Arabidopsis thaliana: one gene and its partners. The protein of the gene in region 1 purifies or fractionates together with the protein of each later gene. This does not show direct contact. Each region holds a gene or a part of one and is shown in the gene's direction. Other genes may lie near its edges.

Region 1 (4,822 bases):
AAAGTGACCTAATACGTGCTTACTCAAATCCAATTTCAATCATCTAAACCACAATTTGGTGCATACAATATTTATATATAAAAATTAAATATCTCGTGAGAGTTTTTCTATAAAAGGTACACGTACACTCATGTATCTACTTACTCACTCCTTTCAGAAACCCAAACCCTCATTCCAAAAAATGGGGTCTCGCTCTCAAAACCTCTCCTTTCTCGTCCTCCTCCTCCTTGGCTTCGTTGCCGTCTCCTATGCTTGCGACTGTACCCCTCCTAAACCATCACCAGCACCTCACAAACCACCAAAACATCCAGTCAAACCGCCTAAACCTCCTGCCGTCAAACCACCTAAACCACCGGCAGTAAAACCACCTACTCCAAAACCTCCCACCGTGAAACCCCATCCTAAACCACCAACCGTCAAACCCCATCCTAAACCACCAACCGTCAAACCCCACCCTAAGCCACCCACCGTCAAACCACCCCACCCTAAACCACCCACCAAACCTCACCCCCACCCAAAACCTCCCATCGTAAAGCCACCAACCAAGCCTCCTCCGTCCACCCCTAAACCTCCCACCAAACCTCCCCCGTCCACACCTAAACCTCCCACGACCAAGCCTCCTCCGTCTACTCCGAAACCACCCCACCACAAGCCTCCGCCTACACCATGCCCACCACCAACACCAACGCCGACTCCACCAGTTGTAACACCGCCAACACCAACCCCACCCGTCATAACTCCACCAACACCAACCCCACCCGTCGTAACACCGCCAACGCCAACTCCACCCGTCATTACACCACCAACACCAACTCCACCCGTCATTACACCACCAACACCAACACCACCCGTCGTGACACCTCCAACACCAACACCACCCGTAGTAACACCACCAACACCAACTCCTCCTACGCCTATTCCAGAGACTTGCCCAATTGACACGCTGAAGCTAGGCGCTTGTGTGGACGTTCTTGGAGGTTTGATTCACATCGGACTTGGAAAAAGCCACGCCAAGGCAGAATGTTGTCCGGTTTTAGGAGGTTTACTTGACCTAGACGCAGCCGTTTGTCTATGTACCACCATTAAGCTCAAACTTCTCAACATCGACCTTGTTCTCCCCATTGCTCTTGAGCTTCTTCTCGACTGTGGAAAAACTCCACCATCTGACTTCAAATGTCCCGCTTAATCGATGTAGAACGTTGAGAGTCTCTGGACGACTCCAAAAGTTTCGTTTCTTCAAGAAATTTGTTAGTTTCATGATCTATTTGGTAATGGGAGGTTAATCTGCATATGTGCGACCTTTAGTTACATGTTTCATTTGATACAATAAAAGGCGTTGTAATTTGGGTTTGAGATTTCAATTTCTTTGGGCTTTCTTGTTATGTTGTACTTTTAAGAAGAAGAAAAAAAAACTGTTAAACGATATAACTTTTTTTTTAATATGAACAAGTTTGTATCTGTCTAATTTGTTTTTATGTACATACGTACGTTTTGGAGTAGAAAAAATGTGATTTTTGTAGCCATGGCCCATGCGCATTGCACTGATGCATATGCGCCTCACAGCGCAGCTACTGACCAAGAACATGTGTATAAATTTAGTTATACTGTATACACGTATACTCTTGCTAAAAAAAAATTATCTATCACATTTTTTTTTGTCCAAACATTTGATAAAAAAGATATATGATAAGATTACAAAATTTTGATTTGTTTATGAAGATTTCAAGAAAATAAGTAAGCCCCTAATATTTTAGAGTGTGTTATTAGTTATCTTGTTAGTGACAATTGTTTATCATACATTACAAGAGATATATCTATGTATTTTCTTATACAAATAACATACATTGTGTGTTACTACGTACCAGGGATTTAACAAAACATTTAGTTTGTAAATACTACATTTTTACTTTTCTTTTAACATCGTGAATATATATAACATTACATTCTTATTATGATTTATGAAATAGGTGCACATTTAAATGTTTTTTCTAAAAGGGATATTCTTACTGATATGTGTATATAAATACATCCACGTAAAATGAATCTAGCTTTTTTTTTTGTCAGAAATGAATCTAGTTTATATTTCTATACACATATCAGTAAAAAAAAAAAAAAAAAAAAAAAATCAGCATATGACAACAAAAATTAAGATATATCAGAGATTCCGAGTTATGGATCTTGCATTGGGCTTGATTATATAATTTGGGCCTTTTCTTATCCATAAATTACACTTTTGGGCCTAATCTGTAAAGCACAAAAAAAAAACACCTTTTTTTTTTCTTTTCTTTCTGGCTTGTCGAACAGTTCACATCTCAGAGCTCATAAATTTTGTGGAGAGCAAAGTTCTCAGCAAAATCAAAGAAGAACCGAACGAGAGAGAGAAACGAATTCTTCTCAGGTATTCTCTTAAATCCAATGTCTTTCATTCTCCTACTTGTTCCTAGAATTTTCAGAATCTGTGTATCTTCCTTTCCTGTTTAATTTTGCTGGATCTGTCTTGAGCGAAGTGTTTTCTTATGAAATCTTCAAACTTTTGATAGAATTTTATAAACCCTAGCTAGATTCGATTCTGGGTGATGTTTAGTTTTTAGGTGTTTTTATATGGGCATCAGTGATTGTTGAATTATCTTTCGATTTTTCTCTTCGCTCCTGTGATTGTGACTTTAGGTTTGTGTTGATCTCAAAGTAACATAGATTTATAAAGCTAGTTCATTTCCTTTCTATTGAAGAAACTTGACCTAGTTTTAGTCTAGTTTTTAATCTGAATCAATTGTGTTTGTTGATCGTTGTGATGTCGAAAACCCTAGTTTTCGTGTTTTCGGAACTTGCCCTGTGTCTAATGGAGTATGAATTAGTTGTGTAGACCAATGCATTTGTTGTGGTGCAGGTGTTAAAGAATGTCTCGGAGATATGATAGCCGTACCACAATCTTCTCGCCAGAAGGTCGTCTTTACCAGGTAGAGTATGCTATGGAGGCCATTGGAAACGCCGGTTCTGCGATTGGAATCTTATCCAAAGACGGTGTTGTGTTGATCGGTGAGAAGAAAGTCACCTCAAAGCTTCTTCAAACCTCAACCTCTGCTGAGAAAATGTACAAGATTGATGACCATGTTGCCTGTGCTGTTGCTGGTATAATGTCTGATGCTAACATACTTATCAACACGGCTCGAGTTCAAGCTCAACGTTACACCTTCATGTACCAAGAGCCCATGCCGGTTGAGCAGCTGGTTCAATCTCTTTGTGACACAAAACAAGGATACACACAGTTTGGTGGTCTTCGCCCGTTTGGTGTCTCCTTTCTCTTTGCAGGATGGGACAAGCACCATGGTTTCCAGCTTTATATGAGTGACCCGAGTGGGAACTATGGTGGTTGGAAAGCTGCAGCTGTTGGAGCAAACAATCAGGCGGCTCAGTCTATCCTGAAACAAGACTACAAGGACGATGCAACCAGGGAAGAAGCAGTCGAGCTTGCCTTGAAGGTTCTGACCAAGACAATGGACAGCACTAGCTTAACATCTGAGAAGCTAGAGCTTGCTGAAGTGTATCTGACTCCATCCAAGACTGTTAAGTACCATGTTCACTCACCTGAGTCGCTCACCAAACTGTTGGTCAAGCACGGTGTGACTCAACCCGCTGCTGAAACATCTTAAGCCCAAAAGTATCTCTAGTCTTATTCGCCTGGTACGGTGTCTCCGCTTTATGTTTGTAGTTCTCTGTTTTACAGCTTTCCTTTTGGTTTGAACTTTGAAGTTACCTTTGGCGATGAAACTAGATTTGACAATGTTATGAATTTATCTTCAATGCATCATCTTTTTACTAATGTCGATCAAAGGAACAGATATATTTTATTCTTATCTCTTTAGATTAGTCTGAATTTCTTCAATTCATGACTTGAATACTAAGCATTCTACTTGTCGCGCAAAGTTTTACACGTAACGGCCTCGTCAAAAAGAACTGTTTTATCTTCTAAGTAAACGCAATTACACGTTGAGAATCTTGGAATCACAAAAGAGTAACGTTTAAGGAAGAATAGAATCAAAATTCTAGATTTTTGTTTTGCATTCTTGGTATTAATCTCACAAGAAAATTTTATAGATTTAAGTTTGTATCATCTCCATAAAAACGAATTTATCTTTACTTTTCATTACGCACAACTTTGTGACAAAGAAAACAACACAAGAAAAGATAAATACTCTGAAACATAAGAACCAAATGGTAACTATAATTGACTCCTTATGCTCTCTATCACTCTATGTACAAATATGATCGTAAGCTTACAGCTTCACTAATCAAGAACAGAGCTTAGGAAGTGATCTATTACTTCCTTTGCTCGAGCTCTTGGATCTCTTCTTGATAACTTCCATTTGATTCTGCATTTTCAAACAAGCTCTCTCCAATTCCATTACCCTCCATTGAATCCCTTCGATATGTTCCTTCAGCTTCTCGTTTTCTCCTGAAGTCTCAACCTTCTCCATTCTGAGTATGAGCTGCTTCTGTTGTTGTTGTTGTTGTTGTTGTTGTTGTTGTTCATCTAGTGTCTCAATAGCCTGAAACTTTTGGTTACGCGAAATGTGAGCTCTTGATTCTCCTGAAAGCTTCTCGTAACTTAAAGTTCGTATCAAGTTGAGTTTTTCGCCATCAGTTGTTCCTGTGTGAGCCTGAACGAGCCATTAAACTGTTATTAGTGTGATAAAGATCGAAACATTCTTTTTTACATTTTGAACTTGAGATGAGTGTTGAAACGTACCTCGAGATACATATCAATAGCACGGTATATATCTTCGTGGGATTCTCTGGCTGAATCTGGAACAAGTGTGATGAG
Region 2 (5,788 bases), on another chromosome or scaffold:
TCTCAGAAGAAAAAAGGGAACACAACACATACCGATCGGAAGGTGGCCGGAAAAATCGTCGGAGCTCCGGTGGTGAGTTTAGATATGTATGTAAACCGACCGTGGGAGATAGAGAGAGAGACTGAGAGAGACTGAGAGAGAATAATGATTGCGTAAAGCCGTAAAATCTGTAATGGTTTTTTTCTTGACGTATTAAGGTGGGTTTTATCAGTCTTTCTATTACACGGTACTGTACTTACTCTCTTAAAAATCTATTTTGTCGGTTTTTTTCCACGAAAATTATTTTCTTCTTTAAACTGATACACATGTATCAATATCCAAATGAAACACATTTTTATACAAATTGAAACATGCAATAAACTACGGAATATCTAAAAAACAATAAAATTAACGGCCCTAAAATTAATTTTAACTAAATTCTTTAATAAAATAAAATAAAATCATAAGTCTATAAAGTATTAGTTATTTTATGGTAGTTTAATGGTTAATAATTGTTTTTTCATATAGAACATAGGAATGTGGTTAAATTTCAGAATTTTAATACACTTTTAACTTAATTATTTGTTTATATGAGGCACTTTAAGTTTTAGAAAACTATAAACACATATGCAAAACATCAAACCAAATTATGTTTTTGCATGTCTTTTGTTGCATGCTCTATATATCCTAACTATTTTTGCTTAGTAGTCCACTAAATTGTTTCGTTTCAATCACAACCACTCAAGAAAATAATTACAATAGATTACTAAAACAAGTTAACAACAGTGTTATTTATTTACTCTTTTTGTCGTAATGCTTTAAATTACATGTCTCTTTCTTTTCATCGGACAACTGTTAGTGTGTTTTTTTGTACATCAGGACAACTGTTAGTTTACTCATGTTTTCTACATTGTACATTTTGGCAGTCAATTTTACGGCACGGTTTCCATTAAAGATATGGACGTCATCTTATGGTAAGCTGCATCTTTTGAGGAATAATACATGTAGACGTCCCTATTTATAATTTTTGTGTTACGTAACTTCCCTTTTGTTATTAATTAAGTGTGTTTATTTGGTCAATTCACTCAATCAAATCAAACCCAACGCCAAACTGCAACTATTTATGTGATTGACGCTTCAGAGTTGAAACTGCCACTTTTGTCAGATTTATTATCTCACTTCCCAACTTTTCTTTTCCGTAACTAGTGAATTTATTCATGGGAAACTAATTTAATGCATGGTATATGATGCGTACAACAAGCAATACTTATATGAAAAAAGATTTAGAAACAAATTGTATTGGCTTAACTAAATCAATTAATCATGTAGCAATTAGGTGATTTGGAGTCTATTCTCTGTTTAGAAAAGTAGTAACTGTTGTCTTTATGAGAGTTTCTGTTTTACTTAGCGGGTAAATCTACTCTAAGCTAGGTGTTTTCATCCACTTAACATGTATTTTATAATCTCATGGTTTTCACAAGTCTTAAATTGTACTTATTAGTTTGGTCTAAATATTACTCCCTTTGTTTCATTATATTGGATGTTTTAGGGATTTTATTTTGTTTCAGATTATAAGATGTTTTACAAGTTTAAATTTAAATTTAATTTGACTATTTGTGACTATTTATATTTTGCAGTTTTCATTATCATTTTTTTTAACAAAATCTAAATACTATTTTTTATATACAAAATGACCTAATATGTATCCATTTACCTTAAACCTCTTATATTTTAAAACAGAGTGAGTACATTCAGTAAGAGAATGGATAAAAACGAATTTGGAATACACAAACTATAAAAGTTTCTTGAGTACTGTTTCTATTATTGGGCCATAAACAGTGAGACAAACAGGCCCATAGAAGTAGGTGAAAAAGGCTTATTAAGATCAACGGTTCTCTCGTTACGAATGCAAAGAATCTTCTGGATCCTTTTTCTCTCAGCTACTCTCTCCATTTATCTAATAAACCCTAACCCCTCCTCCCACACTATTCGTTTACACTAACCACTTCCTTATCCACACCAATCCAGAACGTTCCTCAAAAAGCTCCCTCCTTTTCTCTCAAAATGGCGTCTGCAAACGCTCTCTCTTCCGCCTCCGTCCTCTGTTCTTCCCGTCAGGTACAAAGTTTGTTCCTTTTTACCTTCCTTAGCTACTTACTAAAGAAGAAAATGAATCATCTTTCATTACTTTGTTTTGATTGGATTTGACCCTTCAGTGTTATCTATTTTCAAAAACCTTTCTCTATCTGGTTTATTGGGTTTTTGAAGAAAGTGATTGAATTTGACCCTTTAGTTTGTTCTGTTTCAATTCAATTGCTTTTCTCTATTTGGTTTCTGGGTTGGTGAGAAAAGGTTAATTTTTATGGGAATTAGAAGAAACTGATTGAGATTAATGTTAATGAATCTGCTTTATTGATGTTGTGGGTATACAGAGTAAGTTGGGAGGAGGAAATCAGCAGCAAGGTCAGAGAGTTAGCTACAACAAGAGGACAATCAGACGTTTTAGTGTTAGAGCTAATGTAAAGGAAATAGCTTTTGACCAGCACTCTAGAGCTGCTCTACAAGCTGGTATTGATAAGCTTGCTGATTGTGTTGGTCTCACTCTTGGCCCTAGAGGTATTTGTTAATATTAGTAGCTCCTTTACTCTTTCCATCTTCATCTGTGTTATTTATCTTTCGACTTATCTTGGTGTTTTCATTTGTTATTCTTAAGGGAGGAATGTTGTGTTGGATGAATTTGGAAGTCCTAAGGTTGTGAATGATGGAGTCACCATTGCTAGAGCTATTGAGTTACCTAATGCCATGGAAAATGCTGGTGCAGCGCTTATTCGTGAGGTTGGTGTAGCTTTGTTATTGTCTCTGTTAATGCTATTTATACGGTGCGGTAATCTGGTGTTGTTATGTGGTAGGTTGCGAGTAAGACTAATGACTCTGCTGGTGATGGGACAACCACTGCGTCTATCCTTGCTCGGGAGATAATCAAACATGGATTGTTGAGCGTCACTTCTGGTGCGAATCCCGTTTCACTCAAGAGGGGAATTGATAAGACTGTTCAAGGTCTGATCGAAGAGCTTCAGAAGAAAGCTAGGCCCGTGAAAGGTCGTGATGACATCAGAGGTACTAACTTTGCAGTGACCTTCCTTGTGATGCAGCAATGTTTGATTTCTTTTACTGATCAATCTGTTCTTTTTTTTTTTTCCAGCTGTGGCTTCTATCTCTGCTGGAAATGATGACCTTATAGGGTCAATGATTGCTGATGCCATCGACAAAGTTGGACCTGATGGTGTTTTGTCCATTGAATCTTCATCTTCTTTTGAGACCACGGTCGAAGTTGAAGAAGGGATGGAGGTATGAGTTTTTTTGTCTTGCTTCTCTTCAACTGTAATTTTATTCACCATTCATTGCCAATGACTAACTTGATTATTTACAGATTGACAGAGGTTACATCTCGCCTCAGTTTGTTACAAACCCTGAGAAACTACTAGCTGAGTTTGAGAATGCTAGGGTATTGATCACTGATCAGAAGATCACTGCGATCAAAGACATCATCCCTATTTTGGAGAAGACCACTCAGCTTCGTGCTCCGTTGTTGATTATTGCAGAGGATGTTACTGGTGAAGCCTTAGCTACCCTTGTCGTGAACAAGCTTCGTGGTGTCCTCAATGTTGTTGCCGTTAAAGCGCCAGGATTTGGAGAAAGAAGAAAAGCCATGCTTCAAGATATTGCAATCTTGACAGGTATATGCAGATTTCGCGTGCGTTTAGTACTTTTACTTTCTCTCTGTTATGGTCTAAACTTTTTATCATTTTGTATGTTTTTCAGGAGCTGAGTACCTAGCCATGGACATGAGCTTACTGGTTGAAAACGCAACCATAGATCAATTGGGTATTGCCCGAAAAGTCACGATTAGCAAAGATTCGACTACCCTCATTGCAGATGCAGCTTCCAAGGACGAATTACAAGCTCGGATTGCTCAGCTGAAGAAAGAACTATTCGAGACTGATTCTGTGTATGACTCAGAGAAGCTCGCTGAGAGAATTGCGAAGCTATCTGGAGGTGTTGCTGTCATTAAAGTCGGAGCAGCAACTGAAACTGAGCTTGAGGACCGTAAGCTTCGTATCGAGGATGCAAAGAACGCAACATTTGCTGCTATCGAGGAAGGCATAGTTCCAGGTGGTGGTGCTGCTTTGGTGCATCTCTCCACTGTTATTCCCGCCATTAAGGAGACTTTTGAGGATGCTGATGAACGTTTGGGAGCTGACATAGTACAAAAGGTAGCATTTAGTTTTTCGGTTCAGTATTTGTTCTGTAACCAATTGTGACTAGTTATCTTATAAGGGTTTATGTTTTGAGTTCAGGCATTGCTGTCACCAGCTGCTCTTATTGCTCAGAACGCTGGAGTTGAAGGAGAAGTTGTTGTGGAAAAGATTATGTTCAGCGATTGGGAGAATGGGTACAACGCAATGACTGATACATATGAGAATCTGTTCGAAGCTGGAGTGATTGATCCGGCTAAAGTGACAAGATGTGCGCTACAGAACGCTGCTTCCGTAGCAGGAATGGTACTGACCACTCAGGCCATTGTTGTTGACAAACCGAAACCCAAGGCTCCTGCTGCTGCTGCTCCTGAGGGTCTCATGGTGTAATCAAAACACAACATCTTATCATCACAATGGCATCTTTGTCTTTTTGCACATTTGTCATCCCCATTTATCTGCAATGTTTTTCTTTTTTGGGGGAATATGAGTAGTTTGTTAACAGTATCGAGAAATAATTATCATCTTTTTTGTCCAATGGAAATTGCAGAAAATGGTTATGTATGCGACCAAACATTTTATATGTAGCGAGAGTAGTTTAGCAGAACAATAAGCAAATATGCGTACAAACTGAATAATGTTCCAACTTACTATACTATTAAACTAGGAGGGAACAATGTTTTTTCATGCCTTTACTAGTTTTCTCATAAAACTTGATCTGGATATTGCACTTCGATGATCTACGAACCATTAGCAGATCTCCGGTGATTCGATACTTCTCCTTGTCGTTTATTGCACAGGCACGAACTTTGACAAGCACAAGACATGACAGTTTCTCTATGAAATGTCTCATTTCCTCTAGCTCTTCAATTGTTCCTTCATATTCAGTTATCTTCAATACTTTCACAGGACATCACAATCCATATATTCTTGTAAAGTTAAGTATATATACAGGGAGATCAGACTCGTTGGAACCACTCGTACTTTGACTTGGAACTGCTCCAAAACTAAAAGAATTTTTGGTAGATGATTATGTATGTATCCTTCTCTTCCTCCTCTTCTTGTTCTAGCTTTGATGGACTAAAATACTAGTCAAAATTTTGCTTAATATATACCCCTTATTGCTTCTCAGAGATATATCTACAAAACCGAGGATCTTCCATTTTGATGGAATCAACCGAGTCTTGTTCCCGGATGCTTGTCATCGCAGCTAGAGATATTCGAGTGGAAAGGATATAGAGATAGAGTAGAAGGGGAAAAATTCTTGACATACATTTTAGCCAACTCTAAGCGTTTAAAGACCGCAACAATCTCTCTGCCCTTCGATCTTGAAGATCAAGAGGTGATCATCGAGGAGTTGAAAGATATTCCTAGGGTTTCAACAACATCTCACCTTTTGTTCATATGAAAATTCTATGGAAGCTTGGCGAATGGGCAAGCTTAGACTACTTATCTGCTATTATATGTTTTAATCAACTTGCAAAGATTAGTAACATAAAAAAAAATATTAAGAATTCTAGACAAGTTAGACTACTTCCTACAAACGTGTAGTG
Region 3 (5,439 bases), on another chromosome or scaffold:
TTTTCGTCTCCACGGTATTTTTCATGTGAGCATGTTGGTTCTTATTTGTGCAGGTACATACAGTATGTGTGGGAGCAGCCATAGGTCAGGCCTGTCTATTACTTTCTGCGGGAACCAAGGGTAAACGGTTTATGATGCCACATGCCAAAGGTATAGACTTCGACTGCATTCTGGCCGCTTCTATGGCTCACCATTGATAATCAGAACCTCTCATACGTTTGATTCATTATGTCACAGCGATGATTCAGCAACCACGTGTACCTTCTTCTGGGTTGATGCCTGCCAGTGATGTCCTGATTCGGGCCAAAGAGGTTTGATGAATCGCTCTACACACTTAATATTCTGGAAATTTAAATTTGATCGAGATTTTCTCTTTCTGCTTTGCTTCTACCTACTTTCCTATATTATATCTCTGATAATTTGGACAGAAATTTCTCACTTAAGCATTTGGTTCAGAATTTCATGACCTAATTAGGTGAAGAATCTGAGTTTGATTACTTCATCTTCCTCATTCCTGTTATGCAATTGCAGGTCATTACAAATAGGGATATACTTGTGGAACTACTATCAAAGCATACTGGGAATGTGAGTGCGAAATATTTTCATAACTTTGTGGAGAAATTTGATAGCTGATTAAAACATTCTTATATGTCATATAGTCCGTGGAGACTGTAGCTAACGTAATGAGAAGGCCATATTACATGGATGCACCAAAAGCTAAAGAATTTGGAGTCATTGACAGGGTAAGTTTGGGCACTGTAATTTTTTGATGTTGCTTTTCATATGCACATACTAAAAGATTAAAGGTTACATATCGTCACCAAGCAAAGTAACCTTTCCAGTCAAGTTTCCCTCTCTTCTACCTTTTCCTGATGTTTGCCTGTGCGTAATGATGAATTTGTTTTCATACTTTTCCAAGTTAAAGCTTTAAAGATGGTCTCATAATCATTGGCAGATTCTTTGGCGCGGTCAAGAAAAGATTATTGCGGACGTGGTTCCTTCAGAGGAATTCGACAAGAATGCAGGGATTAAAAGCGTAGTATGAGTCTAGTCTTAAGTTTTCTTGGCCTAAATCATACTGTAAGTGACACGCGTAACTCTCCATTGCTACTCTAGGCATGAATCCATCTTATTCATGGAAATCTCTGATGAAGAAATACAAATGCATCTAACTTACCTGCAAATCATTAGAACGCACGCTTGTATTTACAATGATTTGTATTTTGCTTGAACTCTACTCATTTGCAGGCGTCATGGAGAAGAACAAATAGACTGACCAAAATCACATTGGCCGCAGACTGCCTTGTTTCAAATCACTTGGTAAATGTGAACATGCGATTAGGAGAATCATACTTAAAGGATCTTGAAATATTATGATAAAATTGTAATGTGTTTGTTCGTTAGCAATAGTAAATACAATCTTCAACTCTCTTCTTCACCCTTCCGATTTGAATATTGAACAGTTTCTTACTTGTTTCCATTTGGCTTCACTTCTTTTTTGGTCAGCTTTTAAGAAAACTACATCATCAATTTGACCAGATTGCTTAGCAATAACTTGATTTTAAAATAGATATAAGATACATTGTGAAAAAAATAAAAAGGATACAAAACCAAAAACGCTCCGATGCCGGGAATCGAACCCGGGTCTCCTGGGTGAAAGCCAGATATCCTAACCGCTGGACGACATCGGATTTGTTGTTGGGTATTGACTGTGATAATATTTAATACAATACATGTGTTATTAAATTAAAGCTGTTTCTTCGCCCAAAAGCCAAACTCTGTTTCCTATTTATGTCTTCTGAGATCTCTCGTAGACTCTTACAGTGATTAACTCAGGCTGCTAAGGGAGATGGCAACGGCGATGGCGGAGGATACGAGCTTCGAGGGAGACCAACTAGCTTCCATGACTACTGATGACATCGGTAGAGCTTCTCGTCTCTTAGCCAACGAGATTCGCATCCTCAAGGTCACCACCCTCTCTCTCTTCTCTCTATATTTTTAATCTGCTGGCTACTTGGAACTAGTATATTTCTTCATTCCAAGCTCACTATTACCTTAATTTGATTAGCGACACTTTGATTAGTTTTGAAGAAGATGGATGATGTCTGAGAGCAACGATAACTCTTGTTTCATATCACACTTTTTATCAGTCAAAGATATCGAAATTCACTCAAAGTACTTGTTTTTATAGTTAGATAATTATAGAATATGATTAGAAGACATTTATATTTACTGGTCTTTTGCTCATTGGATGAAATTCACCAGAATTTTTTGATGTCTTTTTCTCTCAAATACGTTGATTTGTTGTAGGAAGAATCGCAGAGGACAAACCTTGATTTGGAATCAGTGAAGGAGAAAATAAAGGAGAACCAGGAGAAGATTAAGCTTAACAAACAGCTTCCTTACTTAGTTGGCAATATCGTTGAGGTACTTTCACTGACTCTTCTCTTGGGGTGTTTCACATTCCTTATATGGGGCTTTTGGTTTTGGTATGTATAACATTCCTTTTTGTTGAGTGACACAATTGTACTATGCTTTTGATTACTAGTAGTGTTAGCCTGATGAATTCCTTGAATCTTTGCCACAGTAGTTCAGACATTTTACCATCAAATTTTTTTTTGTGTAATGATGGAATTAGGATTTGATCTATTATCCGTGCTTTCTAGATTCTTGAGATGAGTCCAGAGGATGATGCAGAGGAAGATGGAGCGAATATCGATCTGGACTCTCAGAGGAAGGGAAAGTGTGTCGTTCTAAAAACATCAACTCGTCAGGTGAAGTTTTAGACTCTTATATCACCGTTAGAGAGATTTTCAGAACTAGTGGGGAACAAACTCTGACTACTAGTGTAGTGTTTGTATAATGATCTCATGGGTTAATTATACTTTTCAGACCATCTTCCTCCCTGTTGTTGGACTTGTTGATCCAGATACATTGAAGCCTGGGGACTTAGTTGGAGTTAACAAAGATAGTTACTTGATTCTGGATACTTTACCTTCTGAGTATGATTCAAGAGTAAAAGCAATGGAGGTCGACGAAAAACCTACTGAAGACTACAATGATATAGGGGGACTAGAAAAACAGGCTAGTTGATGACTCTCCTGTTTCATGTTTCCTTAGTTTTTAGTATCTCTGGTACAATATTTGATGTTGGTGACTCTCCTGTTTTTGTAATTAAACAGATACAAGAACTTGTTGAAGCCATTGTGTTGCCAATGACTCATAAAGAGCAGTTCGAAAAGTTGGGTATCCGTCCACCAAAAGGTGTACTCTTGTATGGTCCTCCTGGAACCGGAAAGACGTTGATGGCCCGAGCTTGTGCAGCACAGACAAATGCAACTTTCCTCAAACTAGCAGGGCCACAACTTGTTCAGGTATGAAAACTAGAGTAAACGTAACTGATTTTGATCTTGTTCCTGTGATATTTTTTGAACCAAACGGAAAGTAACTTTTTTTAGACTTATGTATAGATGTTCATCGGAGATGGAGCAAAACTTGTCCGTGATGCTTTCCTGCTTGCAAAAGAGAAATCCCCTTGTATTATATTCATAGATGAGATTGACGCAATAGGGACAAAGCGTTTTGATAGGTACTCTATCTAGAGTCATGTCATAACTATTTTATTTTCTTTCTGATGACTAATGCTGACTTTTAATTGGCTTACAGCGAAGTTAGTGGAGACCGTGAGGTACAAAGGACAATGTTGGAGCTGCTCAACCAGCTTGATGGATTCAGCAGCGATGATCGCATTAAGGTTGTTACCCCTCATATTACCCCTGCAAATGTCTATTTATTTAGTGAAAGGCATGAAAAACTCATAATTTTACAAACTTAGGTTATTGCAGCGACAAATCGTGCTGATATACTAGATCCTGCCCTTATGCGTTCTGGTCGTTTGGATCGTAAAATCGAGTTTCCGCACCCCACTGAAGAAGCTAGAGGCAGGATCTTACAGGTTCTGTATCCTTTACTGCATCTTTTCTTTTTTCTTTCTTTATTTCTATGTCGTTTTAAAGCTAAAATTAGAGAGCTTCATGCACTTAGACAAGTCTTGCTGTGATTTTCTATGTATTCCGCGGATAACTTATCTTGGGTACTGTTTTGTTTTTGCATAATGTTGGCGATGGGGTTACAGATACATTCAAGGAAAATGAATGTGAATGCAGACGTCAATTTTGAAGAGCTTGCTCGGTCAACGGATGATTTCAATGGAGCTCAACTCAAAGCAGTGTGTGTTGAAGCGGGTATGCTTGCCCTGCGCCGGGATGCAACTGAGGTATGCATATATCTTTCGTCTTAGTGGTTGTAACTTTAGGATGTGGATGATATGGAGGAAATGGTAAATGTGTGTGCAGGTGAACCATGAGGATTTCAATGAAGGTATAATTCAAGTACAAGCCAAGAAGAAAGCAAGCTTGAATTACTACGCCTAAGTCCTCTTTTATGTACACTCTTCTTTCTCCTCTTTACATTATAGAAAACTTCAAGTTGTAGTCTCAACTTTTGAATCTAGAACCCCTTCAAAGTGTGGTTATAATTATAATAGATATCAGCTTGACATATTTTGCTTATTATTTTCTAATGATGGTCTGATGGATGAATAGAATCGAAACTAGAAATTTTCCTTGTGGAACTCAAACTTGGTCGTAGTTTTCCTAGAGAAATCTTGAGCCAGTCTCTTTAACTCTCCTATGATGCATGTATTACCACAGTAGAAAACCCCTACCAACAAAATAGAAAAAGGAAAATCAGTTACTTACTAGAAAGATTCTACAATAGCTATGGAATTGTTGTAATAGCTAGTGACATACCAACTCGTTGATTGACGTGGTTGACTGCGACGTGCTTGAAGACACTACGCCAATTGGGTCGAGCGAAATGGGTTCGGACCCGAGTGCCCGATACGATGTCAATGCCGCTCTTGGCGTGGTGCAATGACTGCAACATGGTGATTAGTGCTGACCTCGCATCTCCTTCCTCATACACGCTAGTGCAGTAATTATGTAGTTCAATCATCCCCTCACTATCATACTCAGCTACCTCGTTCATGACCTCACTGAACCATTCCAATGATCCTTGCTCTCTTGTTACCCAATAAAAATAAGCTCGTTTTGTGGCAACATAGTTTTTTATGTGTTGGTTAGTGCCTCGTTCGATGGAATTCTGGTTCTTGATGTTGTTAAGGACGTCCCTGATTATGCTGATTAATGGCGTCGCTCCGATCCCTAGACCTACTAGAAGCAATACATCGTAGTTCCGGTAATCTTGTGCGGGTGCACCATATGGACCATCGATTAACAGCCTCGGAAACCTTTCCATGTAAAATTCATTAGAAAAATTGCTCATGTTTTTAAATCATGATTACTCAAATTATAAATCAAAAACTGTACCTGGTTATATTGTTGGCTTGACCTATGTCAGCTATGAAGAGCCCACTTT

Evidence for each region.
Region 2: the proteins of PAC1 (region 1) and CPN60A fractionate together in Arabidopsis thaliana (co-fractionation; one large-scale study listed by BioGRID). This does not show direct contact.
Region 3: the proteins of PAC1 (region 1) and RPT5B fractionate together in Arabidopsis thaliana (co-fractionation; one large-scale study listed by BioGRID). This does not show direct contact.

Annotation. Positions count from the first base shown.
Region 1 is NC_003074.8:7,791,647-7,796,468, reverse strand, and holds PAC1 (20S proteasome alpha subunit C1), read left to right. Parts: upstream 1-2,206; 5' UTR 2,207-2,398; intron 2,399-2,887; 5' UTR 2,888-2,897; coding exon 2,898-3,650; 3' UTR 3,651-3,920; downstream 3,921-4,822. Other genes in the region: CWLP (cell wall-plasma membrane linker protein), read left to right, coding at 131-1,186; AT3G22104 (Phototropic-responsive NPH3 family protein), read right to left, coding at 4,290-4,658, 4,748-4,822. UniProt on the Arabidopsis thaliana protein: The proteasome is a multicatalytic proteinase complex which is characterized by its ability to cleave peptides with Arg, Phe, Tyr, Leu, and Glu adjacent to the leaving group at neutral or slightly basic pH.
Region 2 is NC_003071.7:11,924,560-11,930,347, forward strand, and holds CPN60A (chaperonin-60alpha), read left to right. Parts: upstream 1-1,886; 5' UTR 1,887-2,043; coding exon 2,044-2,097; intron 2,098-2,411; coding exon 2,412-2,595; intron 2,596-2,692; coding exon 2,693-2,814; intron 2,815-2,888; coding exon 2,889-3,096; intron 3,097-3,181; coding exon 3,182-3,327; intron 3,328-3,409; coding exon 3,410-3,716; intron 3,717-3,801; coding exon 3,802-4,253; intron 4,254-4,337; coding exon 4,338-4,625; 3' UTR 4,626-4,929; downstream 4,930-5,788. UniProt on the Arabidopsis thaliana protein: Binds RuBisCO small and large subunits and is implicated in the assembly of the enzyme oligomer. Involved in protein assisted folding. Required for proper chloroplast development.
Region 3 is NC_003070.9:2,935,669-2,941,107, reverse strand, and holds RPT5B (26S proteasome AAA-ATPase subunit RPT5B), read left to right. Parts: upstream 1-1,744; 5' UTR 1,745-1,849; coding exon 1,850-1,966; intron 1,967-2,310; coding exon 2,311-2,427; intron 2,428-2,666; coding exon 2,667-2,774; intron 2,775-2,892; coding exon 2,893-3,084; intron 3,085-3,182; coding exon 3,183-3,374; intron 3,375-3,470; coding exon 3,471-3,589; intron 3,590-3,666; coding exon 3,667-3,754; intron 3,755-3,835; coding exon 3,836-3,955; intron 3,956-4,135; coding exon 4,136-4,276; intron 4,277-4,355; coding exon 4,356-4,433; 3' UTR 4,434-4,580; downstream 4,581-5,439. Other genes in the region: AT1G09130 (ATP-dependent caseinolytic (Clp) protease/crotonase family protein), read left to right, coding at 54-150, 238-311, 532-585, 660-743, 956-1,036, 1,249-1,377; RBOHB (respiratory burst oxidase-like protein), read right to left, coding at 4,613-4,722, 4,812-5,311, 5,391-5,439. UniProt on the Arabidopsis thaliana protein: The 26S proteasome is involved in the ATP-dependent degradation of ubiquitinated proteins. The regulatory (or ATPase) complex confers ATP dependency and substrate specificity to the 26S complex.